Nothobranchius furzeri: one gene and its partners. The protein of the gene in region 1 binds, or shares a complex with, the protein of each later gene. Links are inferred from orthologs where the notes say so. Each region holds a gene or a part of one and is shown in the gene's direction. Other genes may lie near its edges.

What was found.
Region 2: nup85 (region 1) and cetn3 share a complex: the UniProt entries of both Homo sapiens proteins name them as parts of the nuclear pore complex. The link is inferred for Nothobranchius furzeri from reciprocal best matches to the Homo sapiens genes NUP85 and CETN3.
Region 3: nup85 (region 1) and ranbp2 share a complex: the UniProt entries of both Homo sapiens proteins name them as parts of the nuclear pore complex. The link is inferred for Nothobranchius furzeri from reciprocal best matches to the Homo sapiens genes NUP85 and RANBP2.
Region 4: nup85 (region 1) and nup153 share a complex: the UniProt entries of both Homo sapiens proteins name them as parts of the nuclear pore complex. The link is inferred for Nothobranchius furzeri from reciprocal best matches to the Homo sapiens genes NUP85 and NUP153.
Region 5: nup85 (region 1) and nup188 share a complex: the UniProt entries of both Homo sapiens proteins name them as parts of the nuclear pore complex. The link is inferred for Nothobranchius furzeri from reciprocal best matches to the Homo sapiens genes NUP85 and NUP188.
Region 6: nup85 (region 1) and nup160 share a complex: the UniProt entries of both Homo sapiens proteins name them as parts of the nuclear pore complex. The link is inferred for Nothobranchius furzeri from reciprocal best matches to the Homo sapiens genes NUP85 and NUP160.
Region 7: nup85 (region 1) and nup214 share a complex: the UniProt entries of both Homo sapiens proteins name them as parts of the nuclear pore complex. The link is inferred for Nothobranchius furzeri from reciprocal best matches to the Homo sapiens genes NUP85 and NUP214.

What each region holds. Positions count from the first base shown.
Region 1 is NC_091752.1:54,277,265-54,279,930, forward strand, and holds the end of nup85 (nuclear pore complex protein Nup85), read left to right. Parts: intron 1-142; coding exon 143-243; intron 244-399; coding exon 400-551; intron 552-1,717; coding exon 1,718-1,819; intron 1,820-1,957; coding exon 1,958-2,056; 3' UTR 2,057-2,166; downstream 2,167-2,666. UniProt on the Homo sapiens protein: Essential component of the nuclear pore complex (NPC) that seems to be required for NPC assembly and maintenance. As part of the NPC Nup107-160 subcomplex plays a role in RNA export and in tethering NUP96/Nup98 and NUP153 to the nucleus.
Region 2 is NC_091746.1:37,904,206-37,908,289, forward strand, and holds the start of cetn3 (centrin-3), read left to right. Parts: upstream 1-1,284; 5' UTR 1,285-1,428; coding exon 1,429-1,445; intron 1,446-2,296; coding exon 2,297-2,435; intron 2,436-2,800; coding exon 2,801-2,915; intron 2,916-2,998; coding exon 2,999-3,190; intron 3,191-3,559; coding exon 3,560-3,603; 3' UTR 3,604-4,084. UniProt on the Homo sapiens protein: Plays a fundamental role in microtubule-organizing center structure and function. As a component of the TREX-2 complex, involved in the export of mRNAs to the cytoplasm through the nuclear pores.
Region 3 is NC_091747.1:23,232,305-23,235,804, forward strand, and holds part of ranbp2 (E3 SUMO-protein ligase RanBP2), read left to right. Parts: intron 1-1,906; coding exon 1,907-2,083; intron 2,084-3,500. UniProt on the Homo sapiens protein: E3 SUMO-protein ligase which facilitates SUMO1 and SUMO2 conjugation by UBE2I. Involved in transport factor (Ran-GTP, karyopherin)-mediated protein import via the F-G repeat-containing domain which acts as a docking site for substrates.
Region 4 is NC_091759.1:94,286-97,785, reverse strand, and holds part of nup153 (nuclear pore complex protein Nup153), read left to right. Parts: coding exon 1-63; intron 64-145; coding exon 146-244; intron 245-324; coding exon 325-415; intron 416-738; coding exon 739-840; intron 841-2,288; coding exon 2,289-2,936; intron 2,937-3,039; coding exon 3,040-3,219; intron 3,220-3,500. UniProt on the Homo sapiens protein: Component of the nuclear pore complex (NPC), a complex required for the trafficking across the nuclear envelope. Functions as a scaffolding element in the nuclear phase of the NPC essential for normal nucleocytoplasmic transport of proteins and mRNAs.
Region 5 is NC_091746.1:61,201,351-61,204,850, reverse strand, and holds part of nup188 (nucleoporin NUP188), read left to right. Parts: intron 1-957; coding exon 958-1,127; intron 1,128-1,212; coding exon 1,213-1,282; intron 1,283-1,363; coding exon 1,364-1,431; intron 1,432-3,304; coding exon 3,305-3,500. UniProt on the Homo sapiens protein: Component of the nuclear pore complex (NPC), a complex required for the trafficking across the nuclear envelope. Required for proper protein transport into the nucleus.
Region 6 is NC_091744.1:79,862,794-79,866,723, reverse strand, and holds the start of nup160 (nuclear pore complex protein Nup160), read left to right. Parts: upstream 1-1,130; 5' UTR 1,131-1,185; coding exon 1,186-1,276; intron 1,277-3,904; coding exon 3,905-3,930. Other genes in the region: fibroblast growth factor receptor substrate 2, read left to right, coding at 1-191. UniProt on the Homo sapiens protein: Functions as a component of the nuclear pore complex (NPC). Involved in poly(A)+ RNA transport.
Region 7 is NC_091746.1:57,211,654-57,215,153, forward strand, and holds part of nup214 (nuclear pore complex protein Nup214), read left to right. Parts: intron 1-1,418; coding exon 1,419-1,471; intron 1,472-1,565; coding exon 1,566-3,020; intron 3,021-3,500. UniProt on the Homo sapiens protein: Part of the nuclear pore complex. Has a critical role in nucleocytoplasmic transport.

The sequences.
Region 1 (2,666 bases):
ATCTTCATTCTCCAGGAACACATTTAACTTTTACCTACATGCTTCTTAAGCTTTTTATAAGTATCACTGTTGGGCTTATTAGTTCACTAAATGTCTTTCTCTCTGAAAATGATTTGAAGTTGTTTTTGTGTTTGTGTTTTAGGTTCCTGCAGGATTACTGCGCCAAAGGCACCTTCTCTGATCTGGATCTGATCGACAACCTGGGCTCAACCATGCTGCTCAGCGACAGGCTAACCTTCCTTGGTAGGAGCCTGAACACACACACACACACACACACACACACACACACACACACACACACACAAGACTAATAGAAACAGAACCAGTATCCGCTTGATGCAACAACATGTGATGGTGAGAATTTCTGGAGGATGATTTGATAGAAATGATTCTCTCCAGGAAAATACCGTGAGTTCCACAAGCTGTACGGAGAGAAGTGCTTCAGCGATGCTGCAAAGCTGCTACTCTCCCTCATGACGGCTAAAATCGCTCCCCAAAGCTTCTGGATGACGCTGCTGACGGATGCTCTGCCTCTGCTGGAGCAGAAAGAGGTCAGTCCACACCTGAACATCGGTTTAAAGTAGATTTGTTATTACAAAATCAAGAACTTTAGTTTATCCCTTTGATGCATAATGGTCACTACAGTGGACAGGTACTCAAAATAGTTATTTATTTATTTTTGCTATTAAGCACAGCTGTTGAAGACTTTATTGCATGTGAGCCTCTCCAGTTGGACTTCAGTAAGGCAAGCCAACATATTTCATGTTCAGAATGCACGCTGTCCACTGAGATAGACATGTAATAAAGTATTTGTAAATTAACAAAATGTTACAAAGAATATTTGTTGAAATTTGTTTAATTCACACCTAAAGATGAATGAAACAAATTGTTTAAAAAATCATGGTTGAAGATCTCATAATTCATGCATCAGAGGGTTAAATGCACAAATCTGGAGCATTCAGATGTTGTTAAATGAATGTTTTGATCCTGTTTAAGATCATTTGTGACCTCCTGGTCAGAGTTTTGTGTGCATGAAAAATGCTGCACAAATAGAATAAGTAATATCTATCTTTAAGTAGGTATTTGTGGAACTTTTTATTCATCATTAAAAATTAATTAATTTATGTAGTTTTTTTGAGTGACACACTACCGTATGTTATTTTTAATGTGAACATTACTACCCCTGTTTTATTAAAGGGGCACTTTGCAACTTTTTCATATTTTGAAGTCATTTTCTTGAGCCAGTTTGTGCTAAAATGACCCTTTTTGAGGTTAATTAAAGGCCACACAGCTCCTATCATCTCTCCCCCCCCCCCCACCCCCCCATGTGGCAGAATATCCCACTTGCAACCCCAGAGTGCCGGTAAAAAATTGAGCTGACACACCTGGCGCTGCAGTCTGCTTCCTGCATGTTTTGGATCGGGAACACATCTGATATGTTTGATTTGGTGACGACTCACTCCTGTAGACACTAATGAAGGCTGAGGAGTCATTTCAGCTGTTAGATTAAGGTGTTAAAAAGACGAACGCACAGCGAGGAGATTTCTTGGGGGTGCTAAAACTGCCTAGTTACCATTTAAACCAACTGACTACTAAACATGTTTCTTGTAAGAGTTAGCATATCAAAAATTGAGCTATTTGTCATTTTTTATTATGTGGATGAAAAAATCCGAACAGTTGGAGTTTCAGTGGAGTAACTTGTTCTCCTTGTTTTCAGGTGATCTTCTCTGCAGAGCAAACCTATGAGTTGATGTACTGCTTAGAGGAGCTCACCTCCTCTCTGATCACTGCTGCTTCTGGATCAGGCAGACCCATGCAGGTCTTTATTCTTCTTTCAGCTCGTCCCAGCAGCTGGACATTCCTGTTTCATAGTTTTAACACAAACCAAACCCAGTTTGATGTTAAAGTGATTATCTACTGCCGTTTCCACGTTTAAAATCTGTCTTTCTGTTTTCAGGAGGAAGACGTAGAGGTGACCAAGGTGGAGATGCTGAGACTCGCCCTGGCCAGAAATCTGGCTTCAGCTATTGTGAAAGAAGGAACAATGCAGACATAAAGTAGATTCAGATTTAAAAACAAGCTCTTCTTTTGCATTTTTGTACTGTTAATAAGATCAAGTCATCAAATGTTTGTTTTTTGATAATAAATATCTCTTCATTCCGTTCACTTACGTTGTTTCTAAATCATTTTTGGGAAATTATTAGAATAAATCAAAATATCAAACATATCAAATTGTTTTAAATTATTTAACTGTAAACAAAAAAAATCACGTTCACGCAACACGACACAAAAACAGCAGCTGTGTTTTATTAAACAGGGTCATTACAGTTCAACTGATCCCTTTTCTTATGAAAACAATCTCATTTTTCCAGTTATTGACCCTTCTCATGAATTATATTCCAAATATGTTTAGCTCAAATTTTTACAAAGTGTTTGTTGGACCAAAAGCTTTCTGTAAGAATTCAACTGCTTTAGTGGGGGAAGTTCCAAAGCAGTAAATGATTGTGTCATCAGTGTAAAAGTGCATATAAGCATCTGACACATTTTGTAATAAGTCATTGATATACATAATGAACAAGAGGGGTCCCAAGACTGAGCCCTGTGGTACTCCCTTGTGAACACTAAAAAATTCAGAGGACAACCCATCACAATTAAGGCATTGAGTT
Region 2 (4,084 bases), on another chromosome or scaffold:
CCGATACCAGTATCGCATCGGTGCATTCCTAGTTACAGTTTGCTTCAACTATGAGACAGAATGTAAAAAATCCTGGAAGTCACACTGTAAAATTTTCTAAGAAATTATTTGTATCATGGTGCAGAAGATACATATTTAGTGCCTACATATGTGCAATAATTCTGGTCCTCACATACCTGTTACTTCTTCTTTAAGAAGCTTATCTATCCTCCACTTGCTGACTGAATTAGTGGCAACTGGTATCTGTATAAAAGACACCTGTCTACACCTTCAGTCAGTCAGACTCCACCATGGCCAAGACCAGAGAGTTGACAAACGACATCAGTGTCAGGATTGTACACCTGCACAAGATTGGCTTGAGTAAATCCACAACAGGTAAGCAACTTGGTGGGAAGAGATCAACTGTTGCAGCAATTATTAGAAACTGGAATAAATACAAAATCACTGACAGTATTCCTCGACCTGTGGCTCTGTGTAAGATCTCACCTTGTGGGGTACAAATGATCTTGAGAATGGTGAGGAAACAGTCCAGAAGTACATATGGGGAATTAGTGAATGACCTGAAGAGAGCTGGCACCACAGTGACAAAGGTTACTACTGGTAACATACTACATTGTTATAGATTAAAATCCTGTGGCACTCAAAAAGTCCTGGCGATGTTAGAACATCCACAACTTAGTTTAGAGAAAGAAGATTTTTCCTATGAAAGAGCACTCTTTGGTGGGCAAAAACTAAAAGCAGCACTTTTTGGCAACTCTGAACTCTGGCTGCTTAGAATTTCTGAAAGTTAAGATTTAACTGGGCTTGGAATAATAGTTTTATAAAGCAGCTTGAACGTATGAGACTTTAACAGCTGGTGGAGAGGGTGTCCCCCCACCCCAAAATTTTTTTTAAAACAAAATCAAGATTTGAGGTTCATAAAGACCTTGTGAGTGTTACATTAGCACGTGAAGTCATTAGAATAATTCTCTATGTCCAAATTCACCAGATATTGAAAATTTTAGGAGAATTTAGGTACCTTACATAATATACAGGCCCTTTCTTCTTCTTTATGCAATGGTGATGTGTCAGAATATTTTTGATTCATCATTGGTTTGTATGTGTATATATATATATATATATATATATATACCGGGCATATGTATATCCATCCATATGTATAATATAGACTGTGGTATCAGTTATGAACACGAGGTGGCAATAGTGCTCTAATTGACTGCATAGAGCAATGACAACGACCGGGTAAGCGGCCTTGAAGAAGTAACATTAACCAACCAGATCTCGCCTAACTGCTGCCTGGCAACCAGCGACCAATAGGATTCCTGGTGTGTGAGCGCGGATAAACGGATTTGTTGTGTTTGCTGGAAGCTGTAGCCACATAGCATTCAGAATAACATTTGGTTTAAAGGTTTTATAAATTCACCTGGAATGAGTTTATCTCTAAGGTAAGGAGCTAACCTTTTGTCGCGAGATGTGGCTGTTACAGTTCAGTTGAAACCGGTGGTACGTCGAGATTTGTTCCCCAGTTGAAAAACGTACGCCTTCGCTTGTCTCGTCAAGATGATTTCGTCCTGCCAAATTGTACAATTATAGGCGTAGATGTTATTTTTTTTATCAGGATAAGACATTTATGAGGGAACGAGTCCCTTGTGTATAACTGTAAATTGAGTAATATTATCTAATTGTATCGTAATCTGAATTAGATTAGAATTAGTGATATTCACTAAACATGATGAATTTCACAGCTACAGCAATGACCAAATGATTAAGATATATATTTTTAGGGATTTTCTTGAAATAATATTGCTAAACACAACAGTTTACAAAGAAGCTGGCGGAGAAACGGTGGGGGACCCGAATGTACTAGTTTTTTGTTTTGTTTTGTTTTTTTCCATCTGTCAATAAACAATTTCCCCCAGACTTTTGGAGGTCCTCCCAATGTTTTTGGTAAATGTGGGTTGTTTTTGTTGTTGTTGTTGTTGTTCAGCAGAGGCTTTGGAGAATGAGGTTTACCTTATTGTTGACACATGACCTTAAACCTTAACCAAGTTTGACCTACAAAGCTTTAGATGTTCTTCTGGGTTATTTTGCTTTTGATTTTTTTTAGAACAAGGCATAAGGTAGATTTTTTTAAGATCCTTTAGCCTACCCTGTGTCATCAGAGAGACCCCAATAAACATTACAGAAAATGGTTTAGTTCTCATTGGATAACAAAGTGTATGGGTTAATGCATTAATAAGTCATGGCTGTGATACAGGTAGTGTCTGAGGTGAGACTGCATGTGTGTTTGTTTCAGCAGAACTGATCTTGCAGCTGAGACAACCAAGCGCAAGAAGAGGAGGGAGCTCACCGAGGACCAAAAGCATGAAATTAAAGAAGCTTTTGACTTATTTGACACGGATAAAGATAAGGAGATTGACTATCACGAGCTGAAGGTAAGAAAATGGGCCATAGTGGTGGTTGTTATGGTTACCTTATGGTTTTTGTGCCTGAAATAATGCCGTATATAAGTTATGCTTTTATAACCTCATCATTCCTATTTTTCTTTAACTGCTGTGAATGTGGAGCACCAGGTATTTATGTATTATTATGTAAGTAAAAGTAACTAAATACCATTTAATCACCTTTTGGAGAAACGCTAATGGGTTTTCCATGTCTGAAGGCACCCTGCTGAAATAAAGCTCCAGGGGAATTGGAGCTAACGTTCTACAGCAATAACATTTATTTGTTGTTTTAGTGCTAGTTACTAATTGTTCTAATCCTGAATTCAAACCAAAACAACATTTAAACATCTTGTCAGGTGGCGATGCGCGCTCTCGGTTTTGAAGTGAAGAAAGTGGATGTTCTGAAGATTCTGAAGGATTACGACAGAGAGGGAAGTGGGAAAATCACCTTTGAGGATTTCAGCGAAGTGGGTAAGGTGGTCATCGGCTCTGGTATTACCTCATAGCTTGAGGTGCTTCATTAGCTACTAAACCTTTTCCCTACCCCTCAACAGTTACGGATCGCATCTTGGAGCGAGATCCCAAAGAGGAGATCATGAAGGCTTTCAAGCTGTTTGACGATGACGAGTCAGGAAAGATCAGCCTGAGGAACCTGAGACGGGTTGCTCGAGAACTCGGGGAGAACATCAGCGACGAGGAGCTACGCAGCATGATCGACGAGTTTGACACAGACGGGGATGGAGAAAGTAAGACCGGAGTCTGAGATGAGAGCAACTCTGTCTCTCTTTTGTTGTGATTTTGTGTCTGATTAGAGCCGCAGATGCAACAATACCAACATCATCACTGCATCTTCTGGCACACACAGGCATTTTAATTATTTATATGATTGTTCCTAACATTGTTGCTTTCACTGTTAGACCAGATCCTGTCACGTCAGCAGGCATCTGCTGCCCTGGAACAAAATAGATTTACTAACGACAATGTGTAAACATGTTCAGTTAAAGTAACAAAAATCCACTGCTGCTTCGCTTTTTGTTTGTTTTCTTTCATTCTTGCGTCTAAGCTTTCCAGGTAAATCCAGTAGATCTGACCAGGTGTTTTTCCCTTCTTTTCAGTAAATCAGGAGGAGTTCCTCTCCATCATGACCAGAGACCCATGAAGAGGTTTCCCCATCTGTAAGTTGGACTCTTTGCCCATATTGGGAGGAGATATGGGCCTTGTTCTCTTGCTTCTGAGGTGGACTGGACTTTATCAGGAGCCTGGAGCTTTGTTCTGACTTGGTTTGATAAATAAAAGCACCAGATCGTGTCTGGACCAACATCTGCTCACACTGCTCAGTTCCTCTCGTAGACATGAAGTGTCAATATGATGCTGACCTGCTGGCATTTCTTTAAGAAGCGAGCTTTTATTCATGGAGTGTGTTTGTGTAGAAGACGAGTCTGAAGCTCCGTTAGGAACGTGTTAATGTGATGTAGTAAAACACAGAAGATCAGATCTGTTTCACTCGTATCCTATTTGACCTGTTGCAGTTATTAGTTAAATGTGGCATATTTATTTTTAAATTGTTTTGCCAACCCTACTCATTTGTCATTTCCCAAAGAGCCAGAGTCGTCAGACCCGGCACCATCATACTTTAATAA
Region 3 (3,500 bases), on another chromosome or scaffold:
GCCTGTGTGTGTTTGTTAGCGGCTCTGTCCTTTCGGTCTGCTAGTGGGAGTTGAGTAAGAATCTGATAGGGGTGACTTGCTCTTTATAGTGGAGGTTTGCTTACCTTTAAATTTGGGATCTTTATATTATGATGGCTGTTTAAAGTAAAGGGCCCACTTGTAACCTACATTTTCTAGCCCTAGGATAAATATACATTTAAGTTTTAACAAACAAACAAACCTGTAACCTGTATTTAATGCATTATATTTAATATTTCCTGAGTAATTACAGTTTTATCACGGTTATAGTTGTGTTTATTTGATAGTAATGATTGTTTCTTTGGTAGTGGTTCGTTACCACAGTTAGGATTGTAACTAGTTTTTCACACCAGTAAAAGTTAAGCATCTCTTGACAGATGAGCTGAGAGCAGAGGATGTTCCTTCAGAGCCATTTTTAGTGCTGGATGTGTAGCAACAGCGTGAAATGTAGCTCCCTGCTTGGTGAGACATCAGCAGAGGCTAATTAGGGTAAAGCAGTGTTTCCCCTAGGAATTTTTCCAGCTGTGGTGGTGGGGCCGGAAATTATGACGCGTCTCTAAATAACAACCCATAGAAGCACTGATTTGATCTCATTTCAGAGAAAAATAGAACAGGTTAGATGCACCTAATAAATAAAATTACTAACAAACTCAGGAATCTTTCTTTGCTTCACTGTTCTGGTGCTGAGAATATCACTAATGTGGGTCAAAGGAGATACACAGATGAATGCACCTCTTATTTATTATTTGGAGACTACATTTACTGCAGCTGGCAGAGGCAGAGATTGTTTCTATTGATACACGGAGTTTACAGAATCATTTTAAATGTTAATAGGGGAAGACTGCAGGAGGGAGCGGTAAAATACAGGGGGTCCCCAGCAAAAACAAGAAACTTTACAAGTCTGATGAAACCCGCTGGTTTTCCATCAGGCAGTCACGGGGCAGCTCCAACGACCCAGTGGCTGTGCTGGGTCAGTTATCGAGCTCAGTCCGGCTCGGTCGTGAACGAGCCGAGGCGACGTAGTGCTCTGCTTAAGAAGAGGTGTTATTTTCCCGCTTCAGAAGAAGCGTCCAACGTGTTTTTATGCTTTCTCAGAGACATGTCACGTCGCTAAGTTGTTAGCGCCGCGCGCTAACACGTCAATAGTGAAGCGTAGCCTGCTGGAGGTTTTTAATGGTTCAGGTGAAACACCCGACCTCTCAGGCTGCTCACACATCGATCTTAAGTTGTCGCTGTTGCGCTCACGCCGTAATACATTATTAGATGTGGTTAAAGTCAGACATGAAAAAATAAGTTTTACATAAATAAGTGATGCTTAGCCTGGTGGGGGGAGGAAACCCTGTCAAGATGGTCAACACTCGTTTATCTTAATGCTGTTGAAACATGTAAACCAAAAAGCATTATATCCACTGCTACCTTTCTAATTTTAAACTCAGTAACTTATGCTGTAACTTCACCCTGCCCTGCCTGCTCCTCCTTGCTGCCCGCCGGCTGTGATCACAAGCGACAACATAGTAGTTCCCGCTGCTTCTTCGGGAAACAGCGCAAAAAAAAAAAAAAAAAACTTGGGATGTTGTAGGCGTGGCGGTGGGATTTCAGCGGCTACGCCTATGTAAGGGAAACCCTGTAAAGCTCTGGTATTAAAGTGGTTTCATGTTGCACTTCAACAGTTAGCAGAGTCAAAACCACAGACATAAAGTCGCCTTTATACAACTTTTTCACTGTAGAAAATCACATGCATGCTTTTGTTATGCATGGGATTATTTTCGTGTGTGCGAGTGTATCTAACACTTCCTCTCATTGAAACCATGGATCAACTTGATTTTTCTCTTGAAGCAGCCTGATTTTTATGTTTTATTTTTTAAATCTTCTGTTTTTCCTGTTACAGCACCCCCCCAGGCAGGAGGAGGCCCCTCGGGCTCAGATGAGGACTCAGATGTTGAGGTTGTATACGTCAAGGAGCCCACAACTGAACAGGCAGCGTTAGCCAGGGAACTCAGGCTGCCGTTCACATTCTTCTGCTACAAAAATGAGCCTGGCTACGTCAGCGATGACGAAACCGACGGTGAGACGAAAGATATGAAAGCTGAGCAAAGACAGATTCTGATGACTGGAACTGTAAATTACATCACACATCTTTGTTTGAAAATCCTAAATAAAAAAAAACTTGTTCAAAGATTATTTTTTACCCCAAACGGGCCAGTTGCATTTACCAGTTTCTAAATCTGACAGATTTATAAATTACAACTGTCATTAACAACCCTGCCTCAGCTTGCTAGCCTGTAGCTAGCGCTAACACCAGTGTTGGGCAAGTTACTTCAAAACTGTAATGCATTATTTATTACTTGTTACCCTCATTTTAAAGTAATTCATTACATTACAATATTACTGATTTTAAAATGTAAGGCATTACACTACTTTTGCATTACTTTAAGTTACTTTCACCAAAACAACTTCAGTATGAATCTGGTCATGTGACGCTCAGTGAGCTCATGACATATATGTGGAAAGTGATGTGGTGTCTGAGCTAGGATTGCTGTTAAAACAGTCAGATATAATAACAGTGCTTTAAAATGATTGTTTATTAAATAAAAGCAACAACAATCTGTACTCTCAGCACGCTGCCATCTTATATTAACTGAGCAGGGAGTGAGGTGGTGGGGGCTCCAAGCCTATATTTGCCTTGGTCCCCAAATGCCTTGATACGGCCCTGGATGTGGAACTGACTTCTGGGGTGATCTGATTCTATCACATGTATAAATATTAAATGCTTATTGTATTATTGCTTTTCACTGGTAAAAATGTGTATCGGGGATAAATCTTCCTACTTTTTTCTTTTTTTCTTGATTTTATTTGAATAATTTCCGGCCCTTTCTCTCGCTAACCTTCCTGCATGCTGCATGTTTTCTCCGTCTTCCAGAAAAACTGTTTCCTAGATTTCCTACTTTCTAACGATCAGCCAAAGGGATCTTCACATGCGTGGTGCTCCAGCTAGCCTGGCAAGCCAGACTAAATAAATGTATTATTTAGTCTGGCCATGCTCCACTGACGGCTCTTGGTTGTGGGGCGGGTTCTACTGTTGTCTTTCAAATGATCTCTGCATTCCACTGGACAATGAATGTGACATACTCTTGTTTCACTCTGTTGCATCATCCCACCCACCAGGCATATAGAGTGCCCTGATTGGCCCACAAAGCGGATAAAGCTCTGATTTGTTCACTAAGCAGATAGAGCACTATGACTGGCCCACCATTATGGACCAATCACAGCTCTTTGTGTGTTTGAAACCCCTCTAGAGAGCTGTGATTGGCTAGCCAGAGTCCTGGTAGGAGCTGCTGAGGTTCCAATGGAGCATGCCTAGACCATTCTTTGCAAAGCAAGAATTTGGTCTAGTTCACTAGGCTATGCTCCAGCAGTAATGAGTTGAAATCACCGGGGCACAGATTATGAACTCAGCTGAGGCAAAGCACGTCAGAAAAGTA
Region 4 (3,500 bases), on another chromosome or scaffold:
TCTACTAGCTCCGCCCCCGAGATCACAGCTGTCACTCCTACTAAGGAAGCAGCCACAAATAAGGTTTGTCCTACATCTGCTTATTCCTACTTTTATTTTTAGAAGTGTAAAAGAACACTAGATAAAAATTTTTGTCCCCAACAAGGATCCACCGAAGGCGTCGACACCGCCCTGCGCACCGTTCACCTTTTCCTCCCCCATTGTCAAAGCAACTGCTGCCAGCCCACCTTCTTATTCCCCCTCCGTGAGTACATGCTTAAATTAACTCGTCAAATAGCCTGCTGTAAAAACACAGGTGATGCATGTTGTCTTGTTTCCTTGTAGACCGGATTTACTTTCAGCGCACCTGTAGCGAAGTTGGCTCCCTCTCTGTCCATGTCCAATGGAAATCTCGCCACACCCTCGGCACGACCAGGTGAAGGCGTTCGCCCACTCTTCATCTGTTCCTGATGGTCCACGGCAGGGGTGCCCAGTCCTGGTCCTGGAGGGCCGTTATCCAGCAGGTTTTAGTTTTAACTGCTTCAACACACCTGATTTCAATCAGCAGGTGATTAACAGGCTTCTGCAGAGCCTGATGAGATGCCGCACAGGTGATTCAACCAGTTAATCAAGTGTGTTGGAGCAGAAAAAACACAAAACCTGCTGGGAGACCGGCCCTCTAGGACCAGGACTGGGCTCCCCTGGTCTACGGTTACAGAGCATCTTGAGTGAGCTTCCATCTGTTTTCATGTGTTGCAGTGAAGTCAGTCGGAAGCAAGAGCACAGAAGAGTTTGAAGGACCTTTTAAACCAGCCAAGACGCTGAAGCAGGCCAGTGTGTTGGACCTCCTGAAGTCCCCTGGTAGGAACCTGTAGAATAATTTGTTTTTTGCGCTCTGAGGTCGGGCGGTAAGGAAAAATCTTTTCTAGCTGATATTGATCAGTCCAACAAATAACTGGTGATGTATTCACCCTCCAGAGCAATAATGGGCCCATATATGATTAAAATATTACCGTTGGAACCGCGGAGACATCAATTGTTCTAAAATATAACATTTTAGAGACTTTTTTCAACCTGAGCAACGTATCGTAGACCATGAAGAGGAAAAAGCTTTGGCGACACGCAGCAGTGGCTAACTGGCCCACTCCGTGATTGTAAAGTGCACGTTGTCGGATGTTAAAAGGCTAAAATACGTCCACACGACTGAACTGTTCGATCCCTTATTGTCGTTTGCTGTTTCCTCCGTCTTTTTCTTTTGGGGCGCAATTTTTTTTTTCTGTTTATATCATTCATGTCCCACCTGTTACCTGCGGTAAGAGGCTAACCTGTCTTCCCGCCAGGCATGAAAGCGGTGCAAAAAGGCAGCAAAATGTGCTATATGACAGTTAGCCACCATTTTAGTGAACGGTTTACTTTCTGTTGAAAGCAAAGTAACGTTTTGGACGCATCCCAGAAGCAAAGGGAAGCTTTCATGACGTCACAAGTCTATTTTTTTGCACGCTAAACTTCCAAAACACGTCAAACACCAGTTCAGATCGGGCCAGACAGGAAGTCAAACATGAAATCAGTGACAAACTTCAGAAAACTTTCAAAATAAAAGTCAGAACAGAAAATTAACCATACCGTTTTGTGTACATGGAGCCGTCTTGCTCCTCGCTATTGTGTGGACTTCTGAAATCGCGCATGGGGTTGGAATTCTCTCGTGATTTTGCGATCTCGCGGGATCGGCTGTGTCTGAATGGCTCCCAGTCGGAGGGGAGCTCGAGGGTGAAACGCCGCTGCTTTCACATCTGGTGGAAAGCTGGGGTAAAGCTACACAAACATTAGCTGTTAGCGTGTCAGTCTGTCTGCCGTGTGATTGGTCCAGCCGGGTGCAGCACTTAATATGATTGGCTATCACATCTATGGAGGAAATGTTCAAACGGATATTGCTTTCGTTCTACTGCCCAGCCCTACTTGTGGAGGACGCTATTTGGACTTTAGTGGATAAAGACGAGTTTTGTTTCAGATGGTTGTTTTCTGTCAGTGATTAGCGGCTTTGAACCGTATGTTGGACATAATTTCAAATGTAGTTTGACAAAGGTGGTTGTATCCGTGATTGGCACTAAAATCCCAGATTTCTGTATGTGTACAAAGAGAATGTGGCAAGAGGACCCTGATTTTTCTTGGAAGTATAGAATATCTCATCCTCAGGACTTATAAAAATATTATCTTTAAAAACGATCGGTGCAGGAGGTCAATCGCCCGGCCTTTTTGTGCGTATTTTAATAAAAATGTTTTTATCTTAACGCTCCGTTTCCCCTCTCTAGGTTTTGCTTCTCCCGTTGCTCCGAACTCCTCAGACCCAAACGTTGCTCCACAGCAAACACCGACGCCTCCCGCAGCACCCGTCTCAACGGCCACAACCTCCTCCTCCTCCTCCCTGCCTGCTCCTACAGAGTTTGTTAGTTTACCGAAGGCCCCTGCGGGTTGGAGCTGTGACGAATGCTTGGTTCAGAACAAGAAGTCGGACACAAAATGTGTTTGCTGTGCGGCTTCAAAACCAAACAATTCACCTAAATCCACGGAGGGCAAACCGTCAAACGACAGTGCTGTGGGGCTGGAGAGCATCAGCACGAGCGCCGCTGTGACCACGACGGGGTTCAGTCCCATCTTTTCTAAGCCTGCAGGAACCTGGGAATGCGATACGTGCATGATCTCAAACAAACCAGATGTGGTGAAGTGTGTGGCCTGTGAAACGGCCAAACCCGGGACGGGGCTCAAACCCTCTCTCACCTTTTCTTCTGCCTTCTCAACTGTTAAGACTGCACCCGCTCCCACAACCCCCATTTCCACAGGCATCAGTGGATTTGGAGATATATTCCAAAAACCCGAGGGCTCGTGGGAATGCCAAACGTGTTTGGTACAAAACAAGGCGGAGGACACTAAATGCGTGGCTTGCAAAGAAGCTAAACCGGGTAATGGCAGCATGGTGTTTTGATATTTACTTTGTTTTTACTCCACTTTCTTATTGAGGCATGTTCTTACTGAGCATCCTTTTTATGTTCAAATCGTTAACAGGAGCTACAGCGGAGGCTGCCTCATCAACCAGCAGCGCCCCAGTGTTTGGATTTGGAGACAAGTTCAAGAAACCAGAGGGATCCTGGGACTGTGACGTTTGTCTGGTGCAGAATAAAGCTGCTGATGTGAAGTGTGTTGCCTGTCAGACGGCCAAACCTGGAGCTAAGGTGGAGCCTAAAGGTACCTAAAGGCTGTTGGGATGAATAGCTTATCAGAACGGGGAAAAAGGATTATTTTTACAGCGATCCTAGAATTTAAAACCACATTAATGTTAATTGTTGACGGCTTGAGTTATGAAATGTACCAAAAACCTGCTTTCCTGTGTAAATTTTGTCTGTAGCGGCAACCTAGAGACGATTCATTCTGAGAAGAGCTGATTACTCAGTTTTCCTTTTTTAAGACAAACATTTTGCAGGTTTAAAGAGCAAGTCACCCCCAAATCACATTTTTTTTTTTGCTGA
Region 5 (3,500 bases), on another chromosome or scaffold:
TTTTCCACCTTATTTGCATGTGACAATGTCACTAATAGCAACAGTTGATGTGCAACATTTCTGAAGCTGAATCAGTTTTAGATCTCTGAATTTAACTGTTAAACCTTAACTTTGTGCACTGCTCGGTGTTAAAGTCAAACACCTAAATAAAGTTAATTTAGAGTATTTATTATGCAGATGTTATTAGTGAACATAAAAATACATTAAAATTACATTCTGCAACAGCACCGGGCTGCTCGAGGATACATCTGACTTTAAATCAGGACAAATATCAGCCAATGCAGACGTATAAAAAACGGCAACTATCAATCAGACGGATATATCCGTCTGCCCCAGTCTGGAGGAGGGCTGAATGGTCTGGCATTTTCTGAGCAAAAATGTGATTTTCAAACAATCGTGGTATCGTCAAAGCCGCAGCTTTTGCGGCGATGCTGCCTAACCCGGGATCTGCTGATCTGTTAACACCGTTACGGCGCAGCAGCGGATGGGCGTGGGGACCAGGGTCTGATGCTCCAGCTGTTGGAGTGGCACATTTGGTTGTTTTTCTTTCTTTTTTCCTGGCGCTGCTACGGCCGATTTTATTTATCGCTGTGTTCATCTGTCTCTGTAGCTCCTTTTCTGTCCCTCACTCAGCTCCCTTCGTAAGTGTGAGACGGAGGAGTGAATACACCCGTTTTACCGTAATATTAAGTGGACTTGAAAGTGACACTTCTGATCTTAATACCTGTTTGAATTTTTTCTGATTGCTTAAACTGGAAGAGTTCTAGTAAAATGTGTCGGCGCTGCTGTTCTACCCGGTTCGGCCGTCGTAGCCAAATCCCTCGTTAGAGTGAAGTTTTTGTGTGAAAAACGTCCAGATGGCCTTTTTACATCAAATAATACACGCTTGTTAATAAACGTATCTGAGAAAGATTCTTTCCTTTAGTTGTTACTTAGAAGTAAAATGTGAACCTGCAGGAGTTCCTGCTGGGCGAGTGGAGCTGTCTCCATGTGGTTTTGGATCTGATCGACTCCAAACAGCAGGGGAAGTACTGGTGCCCCCCCCTGCTCCACCGGGCAGCCCTGGCCTTCCTGCTGGCCCTCTGGCAGGATCGCAGAGACAGCGCCATTTCAGTTCTGCGCACCAAGTGAGCACATTTTAACACTTGAATCATCTGTTTCTTTCAACTGAAATTTGGTGAGAAGCATCATGGCGTGTTGTTTTTTGTGCAGAGAAAAATTTTGGGAGAATCTGACAATGCCTCTCTTTGGAACCCTCACCCCACCTGCAGAAACCACAGAGGTGCTGATGTCGTTGTTTTTCATTTACAGCCACTTGTCTCTCTCTGCTTAGATGAACTTAAAGAGGTGTGTTTGTCTTCAGCCCTGTGTTCTGGAGGCCTGTGCATTTGTCATGAAGATCATTGGCCTGGAGATCTACTACGTTGTCAGGTAACAGATCCACGCTGAGTGGTACTAGGTGCGTTTGCTTTACCGGAACTTCAGGGTAAATGCAGCGAGGGGGAAACTGACCGGGAGATCCGAAGGCCGGTCCTCTTAGCTGTCGTGTCTCCATTTACAGTGTGACTCTGTAAGGAATTTGCTAAAACGCCAGCACATCGCGACTGCTACGTTGTGAGTTATGTCATGGATTGGTGCAAAACACGCAGCACGCTCCAAAAGCAGTGAACGAAACATCATTTCTGACGAGTTACACCACCAATCGGCAGTGTTCCTGCGCACCAACCTGCACCGGGTCATTTACCGGGCCATTCCGAGCACTTATTCAATTCAATTCAATTTTATTTATATGGCGCCAAGTCACGACAAGAGTCGTCTCAAGGCACTTCACATAGTAAACATTCTAATTCAGGTCAGTTCATTGAGCCAATCAGAAAAAATGTTTCCTATGTATTAGGGTTGTCACGGTGTGAAAATTTAACCTCACGGTTATTGTGACCAAAATTACCACGGTTTTCGATATTATCGCAGTATTTTTTTTAAACGTGCTACATTTTCACACAATTAAATAAACCCTGTATGTCAGGAAATATTGTCCTCAGTTTGTGTCTAAATCTTGCCTAAAATGTGTTATTTTGTAATTATGTTGTTTATTTGTTTACATTTTCCCATTTAGTCTTTAAAATACCAATATTTGCCCATAACTTCTTATTTTGTCTGTTTGATGTCATCATTTTAAAAATATTAGATCAGATGATACTCAGTACTCAAGTAGCCTTCTAATCAGATACTTTTTTACCCTTACTTGAGTAATAAACCCTATATCAGGAAAATGTTGTCCTCGGTTTGTGTCCTTCCAGTGAGCTTTGCAGATGTGGGAAAATGTCATCAGGCAGTAATCGTTGTTAAATTCATAATTATTCTCAGAGAGAGACCAACTCTTATCTGCCTCTGGGAGCCCCATAATGCATAGCGTCATTTCAACATGGCGGTGTCCGCGACACGGTTCATATGCAGGTAGCGGCGCTGCAGCTGCTTTATATAGCCACTCGTTGCATTCTCCCTCAACCCAAATCCTCGGATCACGCATTTTAGCTAAAATGCTAACGTTAGCTTGCCTTGCGTTGACTGTAGAGTTGTGGGTGATGGTCACGCAGATGTGTCATGAGATTTGAAGCGTTGCTGCCTTTCACAGACACTTTTTCTGCACGTGCTGCAAACAGGATAGCCGTCTTCTATAAACTCCCTCTGCATTCTTCAAATATCCATAAAATGCCCGTACTTCCCACTTCGTCTTCTTTGAGGGATAAAAAATTTCCTGAGCGCTGCCGTCTCCTCCTTTGACCATTATTTCAGCTTTAGCTTCAAGAAAGTTTTGATTGTAAACAACAAAGCGCGCATGTGCCGCCGGCAACTTCAGCAGATGATACGGTGGCTGGTAAGGGTCACCACGCCTACACCGCAGCCACGGTAACCCACCGAGATAATATAGTTTTTTAAAAACAAGACGGTTATTATTATTGTCAACTTTTTTTTACCGGGGTTTACCGCTACACCGGTTACCGTGACAACCCTACTATATAAGGAACCCAGCAAATCGTCATACTAAGCAAGCATGTAGGGACAGTGGAGAGGAAAACTCCCTTTTAACAGGAAGAAACCTCCAGAGAATCCTGGCTCAGTATAAGCAGCCATCCTCCATGACTCACTGGGGATCGAGAAGACAGAGCAGGCAGACACACACGCACGCACACACACACACTGTAAATCTACCCTGAAGTTCCGGTGATGGAAATGCACCTACTGGTGCTCATGTGTTTCACTCGCTTAAATACGGACTCTGCCTCTCTGTGGGTCTCTGCAGCGGCTCCCTGGAGCAGTCTCTGAAGGACGGGCTTCAGAAGTTCTCAAACGCTCGGCGCTACGAGTACTGGTCCCAGTATGTCAAGTCGCTGGTGTGCCACGTGGCAGAGACCGAGGAGGAAGGCATCTGTTACTTCCCAGAGACACAAATGCTGATCTCTGCTTGGAGGATGCTACTGATTCTCTCCACGAGCCAC
Region 6 (3,930 bases), on another chromosome or scaffold:
ACACACCCCGCACCCCCACCTCCCCGCTGCCCCCCACCACACCCACGCGGCGCACAGAACCCTATGCGCTAATCGACATCGAGCGCACTGCCGCCATGTCCAGTCTACAGAAGGCACGGCCGCGGGACGACGGCACGTCACGCAAGACGAGACACAACAGCACTGAGCTGCCAAGCAAGAGCGCAGCGTGATGCGCATGGAGCTGTGCACGGACTCCTCAGATAGGAGATGGATCGTCTTGTAGTCTCACCTGTTCAGGTGAACTGGTACTTTATACCTCTGAAGGTGATGATGTAACAGACTGCTTTCCTTATATGGTACACATCAGTATTACTGAACAAACATTCCAGTTATCTTTTTGTACGAGTCACTGTGCTGCTGTAAGATGACACATGTACAGTAGAGCTGACACAATAAAGTCTGCTTCTATTTGAATCGGCTGCCGAGCGAGCGCCTTGCTTCATCTCTGAGCCACACCGCCATTCGCAACACAAATGCATCTGTCCATTAAATTCAGTAATCGGTGCAGTCTTTTCCAGTGAAGCATCTGCTGCCACCTAGTGGTCAAAGTGGCAGCAGCAGGTTCTCGGGTGGAGAAGCTGGAGGAGCATGTGGTCCTGATATTTATGTGAGACTCCACAGATCTCCAGAAGACGTGGAAAGTGCCAAAGTCAAATATAGAATAGAATAGACTTCATTAATTCCACAGTGGGTAATTTGACTTGGTATGGCGGCACATTCACCTGGAGAAATGAGAACTAGGAACTAGGCTATTATCGTAACCTTCAGCACTCAAACAAATGAATAAAATAGAGTAAAATAGAAAATCAGGGTTTCGTTTTCCCTTCAGCCTCAGCGTGTGTGTGTGAGAGAGAGAGACAGACCTTCAAATTAACAAACTTGTTTTTTTATTAAAATGTGAAAAAAATTCATTTATGTTTTCTTATCATGCCATACCATGTATCTGACTTTGTTAAAAAAAATCCGTAAAATGAGTTTTGAAGTTAACACCTTCAGTCGAAATAAATGCTCTGCGGGTGATTGGGAACCCATCCAAGATGGCGGCCCGCTACTGCTACGTTGCGTCCACAGACATATCTATGGTTACAGTGGGGCGTTTATTTCACTGGGTTTCTAAGATGCTGCGTGCGCAGCTTTCAAGTGTCACGTGGCCCCACGGAGAAGATGGCGGCTGTAATGGAGAGAAGCTTCGTGGAGTTTTGCGGGTTTGAGCGGGAAACAGAGCGCCGGTTCCGTGAAGTCACAGTGAGTCCAGGTGAGTGTGAGTTCTGATTAATGAAGTCCAGTTAGGCATTACTTTTAATGTTCCATTCACGTTAACTGGATCCCGCGCTGATCTAGCCGCGGCTAGCTACGCTGTCCTCTCGCTCTGCGCGTGCTCACATGTCTCTGTGATGTGAAATGTTCAGGGCAGCTGCACCGAACAGGTGAGCTCTAGTGAAACAGTTGTATGGTCAACTCAAAGGTTGCTCACCTGTTACTCATACTGAACAGGGGCGCAACTGCCATCATTCTGAGGGGTATGTAGGTGCATAACAGCCCACCGCAGATCAAAGCTGCGGTGTAACCCAACCTGAGGCAGCTAGGCTGGATTACGGTGTCTTCTTTATGGAGTCAGTAAGTCCTCTTCACGCAGAAAGAAAGAAGACGATCTTTAATAGAGCGCCTCAAGATAAAATCACGAGGATGTGGAAGCTCAACCCTAATCCTGCAGAAGTGTCAAGGACTTTATTTAGCGAAGTGCAAGTCTACACCAGGAGAACATGACGTATACGACACAGGTGAATACCTGTAAGTGAACATTCAGCCAGAGGGATTAACGGTCAGAGATGTGGATTGAGCCAGGTTCATCTGAGATCACCTGATTTTGTTGCAGAGCAGAACAAAAACACGACATGGAGATGACTTGATGCCACAATTCCCATCTCTGTTAGTTCTACAAATACGTGCAAAAATCCACAAGCATCAATCGTTTTGAGACTTTTTGTTAGACGAGTGAGAAATTTTGTTTATAAATAGTTATACATTTTTAAGAGAATAAGGGAAATATGGCATCTTATGAGCAGATTTACATTTATGGATCTAGCCAAGAGAATAAACACGTTCGTTGCAAAAGTATACTTATTGTACTTTTTTATTCGGTCACTACCCAAAGCTTGTGACCATAGGTGAGGGCAGTGTTGGGAACGTTACTTTAAAAAAGTAATTAGTTATAGTTACTGATTACTTTGTCAAAGTAACTCAGTTACTGAGTTACAAGATTATAAAAGTAACTAATTACCAAGAAAAATAACTACTTAGTTACTTTTTCATTAAAGCGTGCAAGAGTTACTACAATAGTGAAATATAAATGACTAATGATTGGAACATAATAAAATGAATGTCTAAATGTTTTTTATAAACCTGAACGATTTAAATAAATAAGCACTTAACAGGAGGAACTACTAACAGGAACATTACACTTATCTAGACTATTAAAAGGTCACTGTGTGATTTTTAACAAGACCCCAATCAGCTAAAATTTAAAATTGCAAATAGAAACACCTGTAAAGGTTCCCGAGCCTTTAAATGGTCTCTCAGTCTAGTTAAATTACAGAAATAAATGTAATTTTGCACAGCATTTTAATTTTTCCAGCTTCACATAATTGTGTGTTTTTAGCAGCATTTCTGTTGCTGCTAATCTAGTAACGGTTAAATAAATAAATAAAATCCTTTAAAATGACACTAGAAGAGGCACAAGCCTGATGGAGGACTTACATTTACTAACTTGGGTCAGACCCAACCACAGAAGAGCTGAAGCTGGGTGGTAAACACACACAGGTAGTTCTAGTAACACCTGAGCTCCATGCCGTCTGAGACTGATGCATCAGTGTTACAGCGGGACTAAAGACATGATCAGAAACAGGTTACAGCTGGATGATCTAGGAAGGTAGAAGATCAGGACGTCGGAGCGGTGAACAGGTGAGCGGACCTTCGGGACGTCCCGCTGTCACGCTAAGAAGGACACGGCTGCAGACCCGCAGATTCGCTGCCGCGCTGCTTAACGCACGCATTTCCTTATCAGTAACAGAAACGATCGTTTTGTTAAGACGGTAATTAATTAGTTTGCTCGTTACAGAAAGAAATATATATATCTTTTTATTAACGTGGTTATTTTAAACGGCGTTATTCCCATCACTGCTCAGTTGGGTCTACAGCAGGCAGCAACTGAGACAGTGAGAACACTGAGGGTCTCCGCCCACCCGGCTAATCATCATCGTGTTTGTAAGCGCGTTACCGACACCTCTCTTCCTGGCTGCAGCTGAAGTGTGGCGGTCAGAAAGCCTCACGCTGCTGCTCAACGTTCGACAAGAACATAGTAACGCACAACCTTCCATCCCCAGTAACGGTAACGGCGTTGCAACAGTGGGAAAAGTAATTAATTAGATTATTCTGTTACCTAAAAAAGAACACCATTAGTAATGCCGTTATACTTAAACGGCGTTACTCCCAACACTGGGTGAGGGTAGGAACGTAGATGGACCGGTAAATCGAGAGCTTCGCCTTCTGGCTCAGCTCTCTCTTCACCACGACAGCCCGGTACAACGCCCGCATCACTGCAGACACGCTCCAGTTTTCCCTCACCCGTGAACAAGACCCCGAGATACTTAAACCCCTCCACTTGGGGCAGGACCTCATCCCTGACCCGGAGAAGGCATTCTACCCTTTTCTGACTTTGCACTAGTTTTATATTTATAAATTCTGTGTCCTTTCTGAGCTTACCAACATTAGTTGTTGTATGAAACAGTTTCACATCATTATTAGTCACAATGGCTGTTTGACCAGGCAGCTGGTTAGTTCAGCTTCGAGGTGACTTCATATCTGTGTTTTTTTTTTTCTGCAGGTGTGAGCGCTCCAACAGTTGGGATC
Region 7 (3,500 bases), on another chromosome or scaffold:
CAGCCGCCTCAACAATTGCCGAGTGGAACAAGGCCCACTCGGAGTCAATGTCCCCCACTGCTCTTGGGACGCGGTCAAAGCTCTGCCAGAGGTGGGAGTTGAAGACCGTCTTAACAGGTTCTTCTGCCAGGCGTTCCCAGCAGACCCTCACTATGCGTTTGGGTCTGCCAAGTCTACACGGCATCTTCCCCTGCCATCTGATCCAACTCACCACCAGGTGGTGATCAGTTGACAGCTCCACCCCTCTCTTCACTCGGGTGTCCAAAACATACGGCCGCAGGTCAGATGATACGACTACAAAGTCTATCATCGACCTGCGACCTAGGCTGCCCTGGTATCAAGTGTACCGATGGGCATCCTTATGTTCGAACATGGTGTTCATTATGGCCAAACTGCGACTTGCACAGAAGTCCAATAACAAAACCCCACTTGAGTTCAGATCAGGCGGGCCGTTCCTCCCAATCACACCCCTCCAGGTCAAGCTGTCATTGCCCACGTGAGCATTGAAGTCCCCCAGCAGGACAATGGAGTCCCCTGATGGAGCACTATCTAGCACTCGTCCCAGGGACTCCAAAAAGGGTGGGTACTCTGAACTGATATTTGGCCCATAAGCACAAACAACAGTCAGGACCCGTTCCCCGACCTGAAGTCGCAGGGAAGCTACCCTCTCGTCCCCCGGGGTAAACCCCAACACACAGGCAGAGAGTCTTGGGGCTAACAAAATGCCAACCCCAGCCCTCCGCCTCTCACCCGGAGCAACTCCAGCAAAGGAGAGTGTCCAACCCCTCTCAAGGTCTTGGGTTCCAGAGCCAATGCTATGTGTCGAGGTGAGTCCGGCGGTACTGCTCAACCTCTGCCACAAGCTCCTGCTCCTTCCCCGCCAGCGAGGTGACGTTCCATGTCCCAAAAACCAGTTTTCTTGTCCGGGGATCGGACCGCCAAGGCTCCCGCCTTGGTCTGCCACCCGATCCACACTGCACCGGACCCTTCATGTTCCTTCTGCGGGTGGTGGGTCCACAGTTGAATGAGCCCATGTATCCGGTTCGGGCTGGGCCCGGCCGGGCCCCATGGGCGAAAGCCCGGCCACCAGGCGCTCGCTCACGGGCCCCAACCCCAGGCCTGGCTCTAGGGTGGGACCCCGGTAACCCTCCGGGCCGGGTACTCCGACTCTTTGTTTTTACGTCCATGAAAGATCCTGTGAACCGTTCTTTGTCTCACCCTTCACCTAAGACCAATTTGTCATGGGAGACCCTACCAGGGGCACAAAGTGCCTCAGACAACATAGCTCCTGGGATCATTAGGGCACTCAAACTCCTCCACCACGATAAGGTGACGGTTCAAGGAGGAGTGACGTGTTTTGAATTATGTTGAATCATAAATGTAAAGTTAGCTCCACTGTTGTATTTTGACTCTTGCAGGTCAGCAGGCTTCAGTTTAACCTCAGCCTCACAAGGACTCGGATCCTCACAAGGTAAAACTATCCAGAAACCTGGTTCTGTCCATAAAACCGTGAAATGGTCATTCATGCCTTCATAATCACAGATTTCTGCTTCCCTTCTTTACAGTTAAAGATGTGAACAAGTTCACTTTCAGAAATGGCAAAGCTGTATTTGGTCAGTCTGGAGACCCGCCGTTCTCCCTCATCCAGAAGCCCACCTCATCTGGTCTTGGCACTGGGTCTCCCACTCTGGCTTCAGATGCATCTGTTGAACCAGGGAAACTCCCATCCACCACATCTCCCCCTGCTCCCAGGGTGGAGCCACAGCCAGCAAAGCTGACTGGAGGAGAGACACTGGGCATTTTTTCTGGTCTACGTGTGGGTCAAGGAGAAGAAGCCAAAGATGCTGCACCAAATCCAGTTGCAGAGTTTACACTTGGGGAGGCTGGTATTGGCCTGGGTGTGGGAGCGCAACAATTTAGCTTTAGTGCTGCTGACTTGTCCAAGGGGGCGGCGCCTAACAGCTTGTTCAAGCCTCCTGAATCGACCTCCAAGCCGGCGTTTTCTGTTCCCCCATCCGACTCAGTGCCTTCCACTTTGCCTACATCTTTCAGTAGCCTTGTTACACCTTCTTCAGAGGAACCAAAAGCCCCCCCACAGCCTTCAGAGCCAACACCACCTCCCGAAGAAGAGCCTACTACAAGTGACTCTACTGAAGACAGCACTAGTCAGTCTGTAGCACCAGAACCTGCACCGAATGCAGTAACCATGGCAACACCTGCAGCATCAACCCCTGCAGTGCCTGTTATCACTACTGTTTCTACTCTAGTGCCCCTTTCTACCTTCACTGCACCAGCTGAAGCAGTCCCCCCGCCACCAGTCAGTGCCCCATCCACAACAGAAGCCCCCCCAGACTCCTCCACCACCACACCTGTGTCCACTTCACCTGCTGCATCTGTTGCCCCTGATTCCCAGTCCCGCCCAGCAGCATTCCAAGTGCCCCCATCGGAAAAACCCGGTTCCATCTTCACTCAATCAACTCCTGCAACTACAGACAGCAGTTCTGTTGGGGTCCCACCTGTTATCAACACAGCTGCCCCCGCAGCCACCACCATCACCCCTTCAGTGTCTAGCGGTACTCCAACCACCACTGCTGCTGTGTTTGGGCAGCCTGTAGCACCTCCGGCATCATCAGCTCCAGCTCCCACAGCTTTTAGCTCTTCTGGGTTTGGTGCAACAACTGGAACCGGCTTTGGTAAATCCGTGTTTGGTCAGAATAACCTGTTCGCCCAACCTTCCAGCAATTCTGGATCAGCCAGCAGCTTTTCTTTTACCCAATCTGGATTCGGAGCCACCTCTAGTAGTGGGACCACCGGAGGAGGAGGTCTCTTTGGGTCTGCCACTGCCAGCAACGCAAGTTCCTTCTCCTTTGGTGCGAGTGGCGCCAACACAGCGCCAACACAGTTTGGACAGAGCACAACCCTGGCGTTTGGCCAGAGCTCTGGATTTGGGCAAGGACCTGTATTCGGGAGTAACACCACCACACCTTCATCTTCAGGATTCAGCTTCAGTCAGCCTTCAGGTGAGCCGAGCCGGGGCTTTATCAGGTCAGGTGTCACCTTTAGGGATGTTCCAGTCACTCTTTTTTGCTTCAGATCTGAGTCATTTGATTTTGAGTATCTGCCAATACCAAGTCCCGATCCGATACTTCAGGAATGTGTTAAAAAGGAAAAGAAAAAGGAGAACACATACAAGTTGTCCTTTAAAGCTTTTTATTATTGTTTGTGGTTTTTTGTTGTTGTTTTTGTTTTTATGTCATTTCGTTAGTTTATCTTCTATAAAACTCTGGCTCAGATAGAACATTCAGAAGAAATGTGTCAATGTTACAAATCTATTTAAAATTTGTCTCTTCGCTCTTATGTCAAATAGTTAACTTGGCGTGCAGCTGTTTTGAGCAATGTGCAATCCCACGACAGGGCAGGCACGGCACAAGGTGCTCAGCAGCAGGCTCACACTTCTCTACAAAACACCTGCAGAGCTGTGGGTTGAGACGAAACAGCAG